Linked DNA regions of Arabidopsis thaliana. The protein of the gene in region 3 interacts with the protein of the main gene of each other region in a pairwise test. Each region holds a gene or a part of one and is shown on either strand. Other genes may lie near its edges. The genes, in order: ARR3, AT2G12646, AT1G76870 and AT5G56840.

What was found.
Region 1: the proteins of AT1G76870 (region 3) and ARR3 interact in a two-hybrid assay, tested with the Arabidopsis thaliana proteins (one large-scale study listed by BioGRID).
Region 2: the proteins of AT1G76870 (region 3) and AT2G12646 interact in a two-hybrid assay, tested with the Arabidopsis thaliana proteins (one large-scale study listed by BioGRID).
Region 4: the proteins of AT1G76870 (region 3) and AT5G56840 interact in a two-hybrid assay, tested with the Arabidopsis thaliana proteins (one large-scale study listed by BioGRID).

The regions. Positions count from the first base shown.
Region 1 is NC_003070.9:22,065,104-22,068,823, forward strand, and holds ARR3 (response regulator 3), read right to left. Parts: upstream 2,131-3,720; 5' UTR 2,069-2,130; coding exon 1,618-2,068; intron 1,541-1,617; coding exon 1,464-1,540; intron 1,392-1,463; coding exon 1,314-1,391; intron 1,235-1,313; coding exon 1,164-1,234; intron 1,086-1,163; coding exon 791-1,085; 3' UTR 514-790; downstream 1-513. Other genes in the region: AT1G59950 (NAD(P)-linked oxidoreductase superfamily protein), read right to left, coding at 2,930-3,157, 3,563-3,720. UniProt on the Arabidopsis thaliana protein: Functions as a response regulator involved in His-to-Asp phosphorelay signal transduction system. Phosphorylation of the Asp residue in the receiver domain activates the ability of the protein to promote the transcription of target genes.
Region 2 is NC_003071.7:5,166,469-5,170,884, forward strand, and holds AT2G12646 (PLATZ transcription factor family protein), read right to left. Parts: upstream 2,836-4,416; 5' UTR 2,555-2,835; coding exon 2,552-2,554; exon of another isoform or gene 2,398-2,551; coding exon of another isoform or gene 2,395-2,397; intron 2,320-2,394; coding exon 2,074-2,319; intron 1,993-2,073; coding exon 1,852-1,992; intron 1,092-1,851; coding exon 711-1,091; 3' UTR 516-710; downstream 1-515. UniProt on the Arabidopsis thaliana protein: Probable transcription factor that plays a central role in mediating RGF1 hormone peptide signaling leading to the production of reactive oxygen species (ROS) in roots to modulate meristem size and root growth, probably via oxidative post-translational modification of the transcription factor PLETHORA (e.g.
Region 3 is NC_003070.9:28,854,978-28,859,373, forward strand, and holds AT1G76870 (transcription factor), read left to right. Parts: upstream 1-1,861; 5' UTR 1,862-2,025; intron 2,026-2,248; exon of another isoform or gene 2,249-2,270; 5' UTR 2,271-2,272; coding exon 2,273-3,430; 3' UTR 3,431-3,874; downstream 3,875-4,396. Other genes in the region: LSM3B (Small nuclear ribonucleoprotein family protein), read right to left, coding at 112-207, 544-660.
Region 4 is NC_003076.8:22,978,917-22,982,969, reverse strand, and holds AT5G56840 (myb-like transcription factor family protein), read right to left. Parts: upstream 2,333-4,053; 5' UTR 2,182-2,332; coding exon 1,914-2,181; intron 1,591-1,913; coding exon 1,391-1,590; intron 1,052-1,390; coding exon 818-1,051; 3' UTR 545-817; downstream 1-544.

The DNA.
Region 1 (3,720 bases), 6.8 Mb from region 3:
CATGGTTATTCAACCGTTTTCATTTCTAATTCGTAGCCATGCATGCGTGACCACATGGTCATGGTTTAGCGACATGTGATTGTGAAATATGTGGTCGTAGTCACCAACTTAGCCACTACCTATTCAATGATTAAAATTAAAAAGACCACCAACATGTTCAACATAAGTTGTTAGTTATTATAGGTGTAAATATTACAAGCCGAGTTTCAATAGTATGTGTAGTTTGCAAATGATTTTATTACTATTTTGTGTAGTCTTCTCTAATAGACAGTTATCACACAAAAATTAGTGGTAGCTAGAGTAAGTAGTTGAAAATATTCATAGAAGCCATGCGGAATATTTGAGAGTACATTTTCAAAAATATATCATAATAATACAAGATTTGGTTCTTAATATCAAAGACTATAGATTAAAGAAAAGTATCCTCAAGTCGGTACATTATTGGATATCATACTATCAAATAAATGCTAATCGCTGGCAAAATCTCAAAAGTGATTAGCAGACGATATGAATACACAGAGGTAAACTGTCACACATTATTTGATTATTATGATATTATTAGAAATAGAAACATTATTTAATTTTAAAATTATCAAATATACGTAATTAAATAAATACAATACTTGTTTTTATAAAAGTTCCTTCGTGAGCAAAGAGACCCCACGTGCAACGATATAAAAAGAGAGAGAGAGATCTATAAGTATAAACTGACGGCGTTCAAGTCAACGTTGCAGTCAATAAAACCGTCAAAAGTAAAAAGTTAACGGAGATCGTTATCACACGGATCTCTCTAAGCTAATCCGGGACTCCTCATCGGCGAATCCACAAGCGAAGTTGCAGACTCCGGCGACATTGTCAACGAATCTTCATCGTCAACCATAGACAGAGGCGATTCCACCGTAGAGTCCGAAGATTCCATCGAGGATGTGGCTGAGAGCGGAGGCGGCGGCGGTGGAGTGGTCAGCTTCCGTTTGTTTCCTTCGGCGGCGACTTTAACGTCTCTCGTCAAGTAACTCCTCAGACGTTTCACGTCGGCGAGTTTCACCGGTTTTAGTAAAAAATCCTCCGCACCTTCTTCAAGACATCTACAACAGATTTATTGATTAAATTTCCGATCACCAAAATCGGAATCAAAAAAAAAAGATTCCGGCGAGAGATTTGACCTGTCGATACGAGTCATTACATTCTCCGACGACATAATTACAACAGGAACTTCCTTAAAACTTGTCGATTCCTGTTTTTTAAGAAAATCAAGAATTGAAAAAAAAAAAAAGTAACAGAATTTGTTTTTATGGCGGGAAAATTTCAGAAACCTTAATCTTTTTCAGAAGCTCGTATCCAGTCATTCCAGGCATACAGTAATCAGTGATGATCAAATCCACCTTCAATCTCTGGTAAAAATAAAGATCAAGATCAGAATCTAGAATCTCAAAATGTTTTAAAACAGAGTTATGAGAGATTACATCGAATTCGACGGCGGCTTTGTCGTCGTCTAATCCTAAGAATTCGAGAGCACGCCATCCGCTATCAACCGCCGTGACTGCATTGAATCATCGCCGGAGAATAAGGCTTTTAAAATGTTAAAGGGGAAAGAGGAAGAATTACTAGTTAAGAAACCTTTGCAGGATGTGATTCGAAGCAATCTTTCGATGACTATTCGATCAACTAGGCTGTCATCAACGGCGAGAACGTGGACTTGATCAGAATCTAGCGGCGGAGATTCAAGTTCTCCGATTCCTATACCGATCATCTCCGACCTTCGTAGACAAGAAACGCCACCGTCTTTGGCCATAGTGAGAAAAGAGTAGGAAATGAAAAGATAGAAGAGAGATATTGCTACTAGTTCCTCTCTACTTTGTTTTATATTTTCGTTGTTATACTCTTCTATATCAAATCTTTTTATAGGTGGATCATTTTCTACTTCATTTCTTTTACAAAATATTTTCTTATTCCAAGTGACGATTAATGACACAAAACGGTACGTACCTTTTTTTCTTTTTTGGGATGGGGGCAGCAAGAAATAGCGAACTAATCTGAATAGGTAAAGAAAGATAAATTCGAAGTTCATGATAAGATATAGATAGAAAGTACCGGTTTTGCTTCTTCTTACTTTTAGGATTGGTACTAAATAGATATACTTGGATTACCAACCAAACCCATAACAAGGGTTGTTTGGTATGTATGTTACTGATTTAATGTTCAAATTCGTCTTTTTGTTTCTCACATGTACTATGCTTTTGTTGTTGTTGTTGTTGTTGTTAAAAACACATTTACTATGTTCAGAAAATGATTTTTATTTTCTTCTCTCTATTTTGATGGACCCTTGAGCTTAATTTGAAGAAAAATCTAATGCATAGCTATGTCTTGTCTCCACTTATAAATACAAACTCTTAGACCATCATAAAATATGATGACCAAAACCATAACAAGTAAATAAAAAGGTTTATAGACAAAGTGAAAGAAACATAAAATCCAAAATCAAGCTTTCGTTTTCTATCAGAAATCCCGTTCAGAAAGACTTTATCGCAATGATGAACAGAGGTTTTTCACAAGATATTGTACATATCATTATGTGATTAATTTAGATGTTTAAAGATTTTGGGGTCCATGTAACATGCTTTGAAAGAAGCTTAAATATTAAAAAAAAAAAAAAAAAGATAAAAGAAAAGGAGAAACATTTCAAACTCAAAATTGCTCTTAAAAGACTTGCATATTCACAAAAGAAAAAAATAAGAAGAAACATTTCTCAAGGTTATAAATTAGAAATGCAACTTTACAAACTAAATAATCAAGACATTTATTTTACAACTACAACATTTATGAAGGTTATACATTGGAAATGCAACTTAACAAAACAAATTAATGCAACTTTACAAACTAAATAATCAAGACATTATATTACAACTGCCCCATAATTCACACATAGTGATCAGATCTCACCGTCCCACATCTCGGTGACAGATTTTATAGGACCTTTCTCCGAGATGTAAACCTCTCCGTCAACGATCCTGCTCTGAGAAATCTCCGTCGAGATTCTCTGTTTCTCCTCCTCTGTCAAAGACCAATCAAATATCTTCAGATTCTCTTCCAATCTGTCTTTCCTAAAGCTCTTCACCACCATGCTCACTCCTTCCTCGTAAGCCCATCTCATACTCACCTAGTCAATTGTCTATTACAACTCTAAAAATGAGCTTTAAATACTTTCATTCCCCAAAACTTCTCCACATCACTCTATTACCCGTTTAAAGAGTGAGTTTTTTTTTTTTTTTTTTTTGGGTCAACGAGAGTGAGTGCACAATATAAAAATGTATCAAACAAATAAATAAGTCAATAGTCCAAAATTAAATATCGCATAAAGATAGTTTTAGCCATTATCACAATAAAAATAAAACTAATTTTCAAATGAATATAACAATGACTTTTGTTTACCGATTTGTTAAAATATTTTCTGTAATTAACAAAATTTTCCTTTAAATTACGACTGTTTTTTTTAATATTTATACGTTAAAAGAAATTTAAAAATGTTTTCGTAAATAATTTTAAAACTGTCTTTGGAGAGTACCTGAGCTACTGTTTTTCCCTTTGCCTCAGCAATTTCTTTGAGAACATCAGACTCCATGATTTTGTGAGTTCCCCAAAACGCTCCTCTCGATCCCAACACCGAATAAGCTGTCACAACAATGCCTTTCGACTTACATAACTCCCTCAGTTTTCTCTGTT
Region 2 (4,416 bases), on a different chromosome or scaffold from region 3:
TAATTTATTTCACAATATTGATAGGATTCTGTCTGATTTTTTCAGAATTAGTTATATTTATTATATTTAACATAAATTACAAATATAAAAATAAATATCAATTTAAAATATATATGTATATATTTATAATATTGTTTTGAGAATCTCGTGGGTTCAAGTTTTAGTATTTTATATATATAAAATGAGTAGAAAAAAATTAGCTCTTATGAAAAAACAATATTAGAACAACATGAAAGATCCCACAGCTCGGAATTAGGAGCCACGTGAGTCACCATCAGAGCTGTCCAAAACAAATCTAATTTCATATTTCAGATTCTCCATATTATTTAATCTGAAACGATAATCTAAGCTATGAAAGCCGAAAATGTACAATTTCATATGTCAAAGACAAATTACATTGACTTCAACCTAGGTTAGATATATATTAAGTGACAAAAGAAATACTTGGCTGAGGCCTTTTAGGGATATTGAGGATACCAGAGTAGAAGAAACATATTATTATGCGATAAGATAATTTTTTTCTTATGAATTTATAAGGTATGCTAAACTAATATCTACGTAAGCAAAATAAAATAAAATAAAAAACTGATTATAAACTTTATTAGAGAGACCGCACGACAAGAATCCATACATGTAACATATAAGACTATATGGTGAAAAGAAACTAATAAAGAAGATTAGAAAACAAAAACAAAGAAGAAAAGAGTACGTTAACAGAGAGGAGATCGTTGAGGAACGCCTTTTCGCCGATTGATGCAAGCAGAAATATCGTCAGGATCCTCCGAAACTTCTTTATAACTATTAGCCGATTTAGCGCAAAGGCAAAAACCAGTCCTTTTTTTCCTCACGACATGGGTGGTGGTTGCGGCATAAGCAGCCGCCGCACCCGCATTGTTGTTATCCGAGGAAGCTGAGGACCAGCTCATGGACTCATCGCCGTCTACCACAGTTGATCGAGGAGTCTCGTAGGCCGCCACTTCATCATCTGTCAGTAAGTCTTGTGGGATGATGTAGTCAGGACCTAGGGTTAGAGTGTGGCATGGCTTGAGGAATGGGGTTATGTCCCTGTAACGTTTCATCACAAAGTCCACCTACATGTATATAAACCAAAACCTTTTATATAATCACATAGATTACTACATGCTCAAAAAGCTTAGATGTTATTCTGAGAACATGATATATTTATTACAAAGTGCAACATTGAAAAGATTTGAAAGTGTGGTGGTTTCTTAAAACACTTAGGGCCAAACCACTAGCTCAAATGATATGGGAGTATTTACAGTATTTATGCACCAAATTTACATAGTTCCAAGTTCCAATGGCAAGGTCAATGATAGACTTATTTATTAAAAAAGTTAGCCTCCCCTTTATAGAATTTCTTCATGTTTTTTTTTTTGTTAAATACATTAGTTCAGAAGGACAAGATTTCAAAATCGAGCCATATACGGGTTATTTAATAAATCCTTTTTTTTTTCTTGAGATTCTCATCTGCGGAAACTAACAAACTTTACGGGTTGAAAACATTTTAAAGGACAGCCAGGTTAGATAACTAAAAAAAAAGTGTGAATATTTTAACCAAAAGTAAAATAAAAAATGTTTTACGTTTGAAAAACAAAAATCAGGGTATTTGGTAGTATACTTGTTGTAGTATCCTGTTGATGTATTCGTATTTCTATTTGTGGACGAGTTAAAAGGGGAACATGTGTTTCTATCATAGAAACGAATCATCTATAAAGTTTAGACTATCACATAATTTAATTATTTTATATATATGCTAAGTGCGAATCATATAGTCAAGTAGAATTGAGTCAAATATTATGTAGAAGTAATATATAGTTAAGATGAAATAACCTTACAACCCAAGGAGCAATGGATATAAGGTTCTTGAAGACTTCGGTCACAAGAAGTGCAATAGTTGCCAGCTCCTTTGAATTGTCTATTTTGTGGTCTCTTCTTGATGAACACCACTTTTGCACTATTTATTGTATAAGCCTATCCACAATTCAACACCCAATCCATTTATATACATATATAGATATGAGATAATACATATATGTATAATAGATTACTTACTTGAACGTTAGAGCAGTCGATGAGTTTCTGAAGATCTTCAAGCCGAACAACGTCGTGATACACATAACGGCGAACTTGAAGGAGTCTATGGAATCTATGAGAGGGTACACAGTGAGGGCAGAGACTGGTGCAACAATCAAGACAACACACGTTCCTCTCGTTCTTCTTCGCCGTCTCATGGTATGGACATCCCACGAAGAACTTCTCTGCGTATAGCGCATCCAACCATGCCGGTTTCTGAATTCCCTACCAAATGATTTACAAAATCTCTAAAATATTTATCTCATAAACAATCTTAAATAAGTAAATAAAACTTCATACCATAATTCAACTGTTTCCTACATCCACCATTAAATCTATAATTAAGTACCAAGGAGCCAAGATGAGGATAAAGGGTACAAATATAAGGAATTCGGTACGATGATTGAGGTAATTTCACTACTTAAGATGGTATAGAATTGAAGAAGTAGTAACCTACCATGAGGACTCAACTGAAAGTCAGCTTTGGGAGATGGAAACTTTTGGCCACTACTCACTACAAAGAGTAATATTAGGAAGAGAAAAAGGATTCTTTAGGGGAGTACTTGATGATAGGATTTATGGAGGATCACAAGGGAGAGAGAAAGAGAGAAAAAAAAAACTTATATTTGATTATTCCTCGGAGATATAACTCTTTTACACATTTTAAATATCATATAAACTTGGTTGTTGTTTATTAGTGTTGGTGAGATGAGAGATAGAGGGAAGAAAAAGAGAGAGAAAGTGAGGAACGTGGGAGCTGTTTCCGTGTCTCCTACTTTAAACATATATTTATTGGGTCATCTCCTTGGCTTAAGAGCTTAATTAGGTTAAACCCTCCGTGAAGAAGAGTCTCTAGTAGCCATCACCAATTTTAATTCCTTATTTCTTCCTCTTATGATCTACCAAATACAAGAGAGAAGGATAGATGTGTTAAGACTCATATTGGTGTTCATTAACCAATTGAGGAAGATACAAAACTAGTATAAACTATTAAGTATCATCGGTCCAAGCATTGTGAATAGAATAGTAATGTATGCTTTGTTAGAAAATAGTTACATAGGCTTGTTGTAGATATTTATATAAGGTTAGTGATTCTTAAATTTAGACATAATAGATTAAATAAACAATGGATATGGATTGACTAGTCAAATTATTGCCTAGTAATACATTACAATAAGTAGTGTTCCAAGTAGAAGCTATGCAATGCAACCTACTTGGGCTAAAGATAAAAATGAACGCGACAAATTTTCGTAATGCAATCCTTACACCCTTTAATTACCGATAGAAATGTTATCTACTAAAAACTCATATATTTTGGTTGAACCAATTTTTAGATTCGTGGAAACTTATACACCGTCAAATTCTTGATGTCGTGGTATTAGTACTAAAAACTTATTTTATGCTTTATTATATAATATTTCAGTCTAATAGGAGTAGAAATGTACAGAGCATATGGTTAATCATAATGGTAGTAATTTATTAATTACAATACCCAAGAAGAAAACATCAAGAAAAAGATTCTTCTGTCTTACGCCAACTTGTTCTATTTAAATGTCATAAACGTCTAAATGGTACCGGTAAAAAAAAAAACAATTAAAATGGTACTTCTTGTTATGGCAGATAATTATATTTTATACGTCACCGTATTAATGTATGTTTATATATTAGCTGTTTAATCAAATTAAGGAATACTACCTTGCAATTTACATTAAAGTTTATCTTACAAATCTTACATCTTCTACTAAATTTTGTTGAAAATTTCAATTCTGCATAAAACAACCGCCAATTATAATTAAACATGCAATGATTTGTATAATTTTAACTTTTGTTTCCGTTTTGGGTAAAATATGTTTGATACAAATTTTTTTAACTTGTTTTATAATTTTTGAAAAATATTTGGGTTTACTTATAGAGGTGAATTCTTTTATTCACCTCCTTTTTCTCTAACCAATCAGAATCTTCCACCAAATAAAAAATATATAAACTCATTTAACTGTAAAATTAACAATAATGATTTTATTATATTTTCTTATTTTTTATTTTAAATAAATACAAATATAAACTTTAAATTCCATAAAAATTTAAAAATATTTCTTTTTTTTAAATGAATCATCATATCAAAAATATATTCCTCAACATGTCCGTCAACATCTACTTAACAATTTTAAAGTACATATTTGCTCATTTGTATGGATATGTTTTTTTTTATTTACTATATCTTAACTTTTTATTTTTGGATAAGAAAATCAAATATGATGTTTAATGCTAATATAAAACATTTGAGCTAATTTCCTAAAACTTCTCTACAAACATAAATATATG
Region 3 (4,396 bases):
AGACACTTGTACACTTGTTCTCTAACAATATCCTTAACTTGAGATAGAAACTCATCAAGATCCCCCTCAAATACCTATAAAGTTAACTATTGAGTAAGAAAAAGCACGTACCCGAACAATCTCTTCATATGTCTCGTCATCGATTTCTACTGTAGTGATAGTTTCTTCAACATCACCCAGAATCATATTCAAATGCTGATCAAACGCCTGCCCAAAGAATTAACAACAACAACAACATCAAACCTAAGTGAGTAACTCAAGAGTGTAGAAATCTTCCAAAATTTAAGAACTTTGTCAAAATTAAATTTACACAAACCATAAATTCCCAATTGCAAGCTCATCGCCATAACTCGAGAAAACGTTTTTAGAAACTGAAACTTGAAAATCAAAACCCTAGACTTTCCCCCAAAAAAGGACCAAATTCGACACCAAAACAGTGAAATCGGCAAAATAAAGTTACAAAATTCAAACGAACTATGTGTGGAACGAGTATTTTAAGTAGTGACAAGTTCAAGGTACTAAGCAGGGCACAAGAAAACGTACGTGAAGCTTGCCGCGAAGTTCGCGGTCTGACCGGAGCTTGACATAGATTCTCTCGTCGAGACTCAGCCTAATCAGATCTAGTGGCTCCCTCACGGTGGCTTCTTCCTCGCCGGACATCGTGTAGACAGAGATACCTTCCCACCTGAAACACTTCTCGGAGGGTTTTGGTACCGACGAATCGTATAACCGGACACAAACTCTGATCTCGCGGACACGAACTTAACAATTTTGTTCTACGAATAAGATTTTACAAATATATGGCAACAGCCCAACAGAATATTAGGCCCATAAACGAACGTTGGCGAAAAAATGTTTTTTTTTTCAAAACTATCGGCATATTTTATTATTTCAAAGATTATCAATGGGTTCTACTAGCTAGGTTCTACTTCTACCTTGAGAAAATTGAGTTGAGGTCTTGTATGTATAGATATTTCAGTAAACAAATATTAATGTTAGATTTTAATTTTAAAATGTAAATTAAGATATTAAATTTGACGTTTTGTACTTCGATTCGTTTGTTTTCTACTTACAAGCGTTTCACAACTTTTTTCGAGTTGTAACGCTTGACAGTTTCACAAAGTAAGCATACGTGTAAAATAGAATCATTTATTGTGACTAATGTTTTTAACCAAATATGGTATCTTCTAAAACGTGATACCAATCACTTTTTAATCACTATATACAAATTTAAGTTTAATATATTTATATATAAATTTATAACTTTTTTTTATCTGAATTGTAACACTTATTGGTTCCATAAAATAAATATATGTGCGAGAGTATAATAACTTGGACATGATTTGGTGATGAAATTCTACAATATTGTGTTTTTAAAACTCACATTGTATCTACTAAATTTAAATTAATATAAATTTATATGTCCAAACTAAGATAACATAAATTTAAACAATATAGAAGAAGAACGACACTATTGTTAATAATTCGATAAGATACTAAAAAAAAAAAAAATATACACTTTTTAACCTTTTTAATGTGAATTGTAACGCTTCTACAAAATAAGCACACGTGTAAGAGTATAAAAACTTATTGTGGATTTAGTAATGAATCATGAAATGTTGTATTAATGATTCAATAAGGAAGTAAAAAAAAAAAGTTTAAAAAAAAAAACTAATACTTAGATTTCCCTTGACAATCATATCTTTTAATATATAAAAAAACATATAAATTTCAGTTATTTCAAAATTCAAATTCATACTCTACCCATAGTGACTACCAAAATCAATCGTAAATAAATAAATAAAAAAGAAATGGTGGGTCCAAATATCTTCTGATACATTGGACATAAATAACTTTTGTGATTTGTCACTAAAAAAGATTTAGAAACAAGACTCTCTTCTTCTTCTTCCTCTAAATGTTTTGTCCGCCACACGCATTGTCTCAGTGATCAGAGTTCTTCGTCTCTCTACTTGAACTCTCATCTCTAAAACCCTAGACTCTCTCGTCTTCAATCGTTTTAAAAAGGTCCGTTTAGTTTTAGCATGAAATTTTCTCTAAAGATAAGTTTTTTTTTTCGTCTTTTGTTAGCGATGTTTTATAGTTTATCGAATTCGTAGTGTTTGATTGCGATTGCTCTGTTTACAAGCTTACTTTGATCGGATGATTTAGGTTTCATATTTGGAGAAATCCATCTAAGAAAAGTTTGATTTTGAGGAGAAAGACTGAATTTTTATTTTCTCTGATTCAGATTTTTCTTTTGGAAACTGTAGAAATGGAAGGAAATTGCTCGCAAGGACGCTTTGATTCTCAAGTTTCTTCTATGAGAGATCTTCGTCCAAATGCTATAAATCAGAATCAGAAACAACACCATCCAAATTCTCGACAAGACTCAGGCTTTAACAATACTATGGATACACGTCACAACAATGTCGACAGAGGAAAGAAATCAATGAGTGAAGATGATGAACTATGTTTGTTAAGTAGTGATGGTCAAAACAAGTCCAAGGAAAACTCTCCTTGGCAACGTGTGAAATGGATGGATAAGATGGTGAAGCTAATGATAACTGCTCTTTCTTATATCGGTGAAGACTCTGGTTCTGATAAGAAATTTGCAGTTTTGCAGAAGAAAGGTAAGTGGAGATCAGTTTCTAAAGTCATGGATGAAAGAGGTTATCATGTTTCGCCGCAGCAATGTGAAGATAAGTTTAATGATCTTAATAAGCGGTATAAGAAGCTTAATGAGATGCTTGGTAGAGGAACTTCTTGTGAGGTTGTTGAGAATCCTTCACTCTTGGATAAGATTGATTACTTGAATGAGAAAGAGAAAGATGAAGTTAGGAGAATCATGAGCTCTAAACATCTTTTCTATGAAGAGATGTGTTCTTATCATAACGGAAACAGATTGCATTTGCCTCATGACCCTGCGGTACAGAGATCTCTTCACTTGATTACGCTTGGAAGCCGTGATGATCATGATAATGATGAACATGGGAAACACCAAAACGAAGATCTTGATGATGATGATGACTATGAGGAAGATCATGATGGAGCTTTAAGTGACCGTCCTTTGAAGAGGTTAAGACAAAGCCAGAGCCATGAAGATGTTGGTCATCCGAATAAGGGTTATGATGTCCCTTGCTTGCCTCGTTCCCAAGCTGATGTGAATCGAGGAATATCGCTAGATAGTAGGAAAGCTGCTGGCTTACAGAGGCAGCAGATTGAGTCTAAGTCTTTAGAGTTAGAAGGACGAAAGCTTCAGATTCAAGCGGAGATGATGGAACTGGAGAGACAACAATTCAAGTGGGAGGTGTTTAGTAAGAGAAGAGAGCAGAAGCTTGCGAAAATGAGAATGGAAAACGAAAGGATGAAACTTGAGAATGAAAGGATGAGTCTTGAACTGAAACGAATAGAGTTGGGTGCTAAATTGTGAAGAGTCTTAGGAATTAAGGATCAAAGAAATTAATCAGAAAAAGTTGCAACAATGATTGGCAATCTAATCAGTTGCTTAACTTTGCAGTAGACATTATTATTAGCTAAGGTTTAAAGTTTGAGGTAAGAAATATTTTCATATTTTCAGATGTAATATTCTTATAGAAAGTGGTTCTGTTCTCTATGCTTGATTATGTCCTCATTGTCCTGTAAGTATCAACGACAGTGACAAGAACTGAGAGTAACTATTCAAAACTCCAACCTCTAAATTGGCTCTCTTTAGCCTTGGAGCTTTTAGGTAATTGAAGAATCTTTTATTTTCATAGGCGGAAAAAGAAACCTAAAGCTTGGGCCAAAAATGTTGTTTGGGCTAGTAAGAAGAAACAAATTAGGCCATGCCATTATGCTTAGTTGCTTACTGATGTAATACCCACTTGAATAAAAGGAAACTTTCATGACTTTTTTTTTATAATCAAGCCTTTCGTAACAAAGTGAAATAAGAAATGTGTGATCGAAATTTCAGAAAAAAGGCAAAAGAAGAATGTGAAGTTTGTGTTTTTTTTTTTATCCATCTTTCACCTCTTTATTGCCCTTTCCTTGTTCACAAGAGCCTCTCCGAGCTCTCTCTTTATCTTTCAAATTTGTTTTGCCTTTTCTTCTTTTCATTTCTTTTTTTTCCATATTATCATTACAAAAATGGTTCTTATTTGACCAAGAACGCATTAAAAGATGACATTCACTTATATTTGAAGGGAAATTCGTAAAATCAACATTTTAACAGTGAATTTGCTTCAGTCGTACATTAAAAACAAACAAGCTTTTATTTGACGCTATTATTACCTTCAAATTTTCATGTTCCAACTCCAACTCATCACCTAATTTTTAATCTTTAAAATTACCTTTTTAAGCTAGATAAATCAGAGGCTAATGACAACATCAAAGTACACAAGAATGGTAAAAAAAAAAT
Region 4 (4,053 bases), on a different chromosome or scaffold from region 3:
ACCAAATTTTGTGTGAAAAGAGGAAGTATATATCAAAATCATAAATAATATAATATCTTGTCGTCCAGTCACTTTGGGTCATTTCCAATAGTAGTGTCACTATTAAACAACTTGCACTAAATATAGAAATGTAAAAAATGTGACCTTTTTGTTTCTTTTTTCTTTTTCGCCAACAACAAAATTATAACAATTCTGAGAAAGACCCTTGGTTTTGTGTTAAAGTGGATTCAGTGTTAAATATTATTGAGCTCTTGTGGACTCAATATCAGTTCTTAAAGTTATCTTTACATTATGTTTGAAACTCGTGTTTATTGTTTTATTAACAGAAAACTAACAATGTGAAAGTATTCTGTTAAAAACGAAATTTTAAAAGTATTCTAAATTTTTAGATATGTTAAAAGTATTCTAAATTTTTGAAACACATTTCGAAAAGAATATTTTTTTTAAAAACGAATCTTGAAATATTTAATGAACTAGAAAACAAGAAACTTCAAACAAGTTGTACTATGTACAAAATTGTCTTATCCGTTCTAATTCTATCGTAAGAAACTTTCTTATTAAAAGTATAATAGGAATATTGAAACTTTTATGAGCGCTAGATATATATACCTTAAATATAAAGTTTTACAGAAATATGTATGGATCCAACTTCCAAGACAAAAAATCTCACAATGAAAAAACCAAAAAAACAATATCGACGAAATTATCAAAGTAACTAACGTTAAATCAAAATCAAATTAGATAGGATCGATAAGATATTATATATGTAAACATTTGAATTATTCTAATGAAACTGATCATAACGTGTTATATAGATTCACGTAACGCTAATAGGTCTAATATTCGATTCAGGAGATTGAATGGACGCAAGCTTCAGCTCAAGATCGAGTCCACCGGAGTTACCCGAGCCGGATACTGATACTTTCGGATCTGGATATCCAAGACGAGGATTGAGTAATCCTTGTTTCCAAACAACCTTTGAGCTCGACCCAATATGATCATTACATATCCTCTTAGTAGTACTATTTTCTTCAACATTGCCGGCCGAAACCTGTTGAATATAAAAATTTGTCAATTCAAGATTATTTTCTATTTTTTTCTTCGGATTCTACAAGAAATTATATGTTCATATATACTTGGTATTAAAATAAAGCTTAGATTAAACTTAAAATCTTGACTAATTTTTGGTTTAGAAAATTCCGATATTTTAAGTGGGAAAAAAAAACTTGGAAAGAAAACTTTTAAAACAACATAAAAATTCTGTTTGAACTTTTGAAGATGTGACTTTTGTTGGATACAGAAACATTTTGATTTAATACATAAAAGTTTGATACAAAGAGTTTAAATTCTTTTGTCATGCATGTATAGAGAAAAGATTGGAATTACTTGCCATATCAAAGAGGCTGGTGCGGCGTCTCTTGTGATGGAGAGTGGTAGTTTGCCGGAGAAAGTATTTTTGAGCATGACTTGCCACTTGTGTCGGGGATTTTGTGACGACGAAGTTTCTAGAGATTCCTCTCCAATCTCCTTTTCCAAGCTTTTCTAATCCAATTAGAAACGTCCGGTGCTCTTCCGCCGTCCATGGAACCCCTAATTACGGAAACACAAATTATTATTTTTGGAAAAACTTTTAACAAAATCCTAGGCTAAAGATCGCGTTATAGACACATCATTTTCTTGACTACTCTTATATATATAGCGGTTGCATGCTTTAGGAAATGGTCCGACTTGGATATACGTACAAAATCTTTATGGCAAAACCAATCCCACCGATGACCAGTTTAACATGTTTTGATCTCCGATACAAATCGATTATGGGCCTAATACCCGGAACTTTTGGATTAATAAAAAAACGTCACTATCCTATTGTAAAAAAAAACTCGGAAAGTGGCATAATATGTCAAAGTTGTAACCTTTTTTGCGGTCAGGTGTTTTATGGGCGAGACCATCGGAGAGATAACCAGCAAAGGAAGAGGAAGAGGAGGAACATGCCGGCAAGCAATCCATGCTGAAACTTTTCTTTATTGCAGCGGCCAAAATCGAGGGAGGAGGAGGAGGCGGCGGAGAAGAGCTTGTGGTGTCTAGATGAACACCAAAGAGCCTAACTACTCTTGTTTGGTAAGAAGAACATGTTCTTGAGTTATGTCCTACGTTTCCACAGTGTGAGCATCTTCTGCCCATTGCAATGAATGAGAAAGAGAAGGAGGGACAGCGAGATAGAGAAAGAGAGATGATGTTGATGAATGATGATGATGAAGAGAGATTTTGGGGTTTATGTAAAATGGTGGAGAGCACAGAGAAATAAGATGATTGGATAAACCAAGTTTTATTTATTGGAGGGTTTTATAATTTAAATGATGTTGTCCAAGTTGGTGTTTTCTACTTTTAGCCAATAAGAAGACAAGCTTACGTATAAAAAACAAAAGAGGAAAATATGTCTTTATAAGTGGAAATTTATCACTAATATGGACTAGCTACAAAATGTTAATTCTAATCTAATTAATTTGTCTCACAAATATGAAATATTCATTTATCTTTCACATAGTCTATATTTTGCTTCTTCTTCTCATATGTATGCTTTATAGAATAGAATGAGGTAGCCATAACAATAATGGAATCTATGTGTATTAAATAATAAAGGCTATCCTTTTGCAAAGGAAATATAAGATATATGGTTGAGAGAGAGAGGACTTGGATCCTCCAATAGTTTTGGGGAGGTGGGTAGTTGGATGACCTAATAAAAATGTGGAAAGAAACATAACAAAAATATAATTTACAAATTTGTAAAATAGAGAAACAAACAACAAAGTGGTCTTGTTTACATGAACAAAGACAAGTCTTATTTATTTCTTGTTTTTGTTTGATATAAATAATGAAATAATTTGGATCTTATAATATTTTCAATATATTAGTTGGACGGAAGAGTCATCGTATACATATTTTTATTTAAAGATTGCCTGATTTGCTCAAATATTGTAATCGATAATGTTATTAATTACTAGTAGACAAAGCACTACCCAACATGCATTTATCTATGAATTGTTTATGGTTAGAATTGGTAAAAAGCAATATGGAGATTCTATTGCTACATTCGGAATGAAGAGCAAGTATAGGAGAACAATGATGATGATTCATATTTGATCATATAAAATAATGTATAGTATGAATCTATAATGGGGGTACTCGCATTCATCATATAAATTAAAATTAACTTTAGAGTCATAGCCTACGATCATTTCTAATTTGAATACTGAATGTGGATTCATGTTGATTCTATCCCACATACATATAATATGACAAGATGGGGTATTCATGTTGATGTACTATAATAATCTATTTAATGTTGATTATATCTTCTTCTACATACATAAAGATAATATGACTGGGATTCATTTTTAAGATTCGACTAATTAAAATATATTAAATGTTGATTCATATAGGACAATGATGGGGATTCATATTTCATCACATAAATAGTATATTATTGTTGATTTGATCCTAATGGCTACTTAATTCTGGTCCAATGAAGTTTGTTTTTGGTGAGGTAGGTCAATTTGTTTTACAAAAATTTACTAAACATATTCTAAAGATGTTGCTCACTATATCATATATTATTGAAGGAAAAAAACTACCAAATTAGAACATTATGCAAATGCTCTTCATCCACAATAACAGCACACATCACATTCTTTTGATCTCTAAATCGATACTTCTCTGTTTTTCTCTGTTTTAAGAGGTGACAAAATATAATAAGTCTCTGTTTCGAGTAAGAAGTCTCACAATTACCAAAAGTTGAAGTCCACAATTTATGCAAAGACGAATTTTATGAATGAATCCATGATCAGTAATTAATCAACTTTCAGGAACACCAAACAAAGAAAAAACCAAAACCAAACAAAAATAAACAAAACTACTTTTTCTTCAAGTAGTGTTTCTCCATAGACTCGATCACTTTTGTCATCTCCTCCTCATAAGATTCGGAGTGTGCTAACACATGATCTTTCTGCTGCATTAACATCATCATTTGTTTTTGCATCTGCATTAGCATCTTTT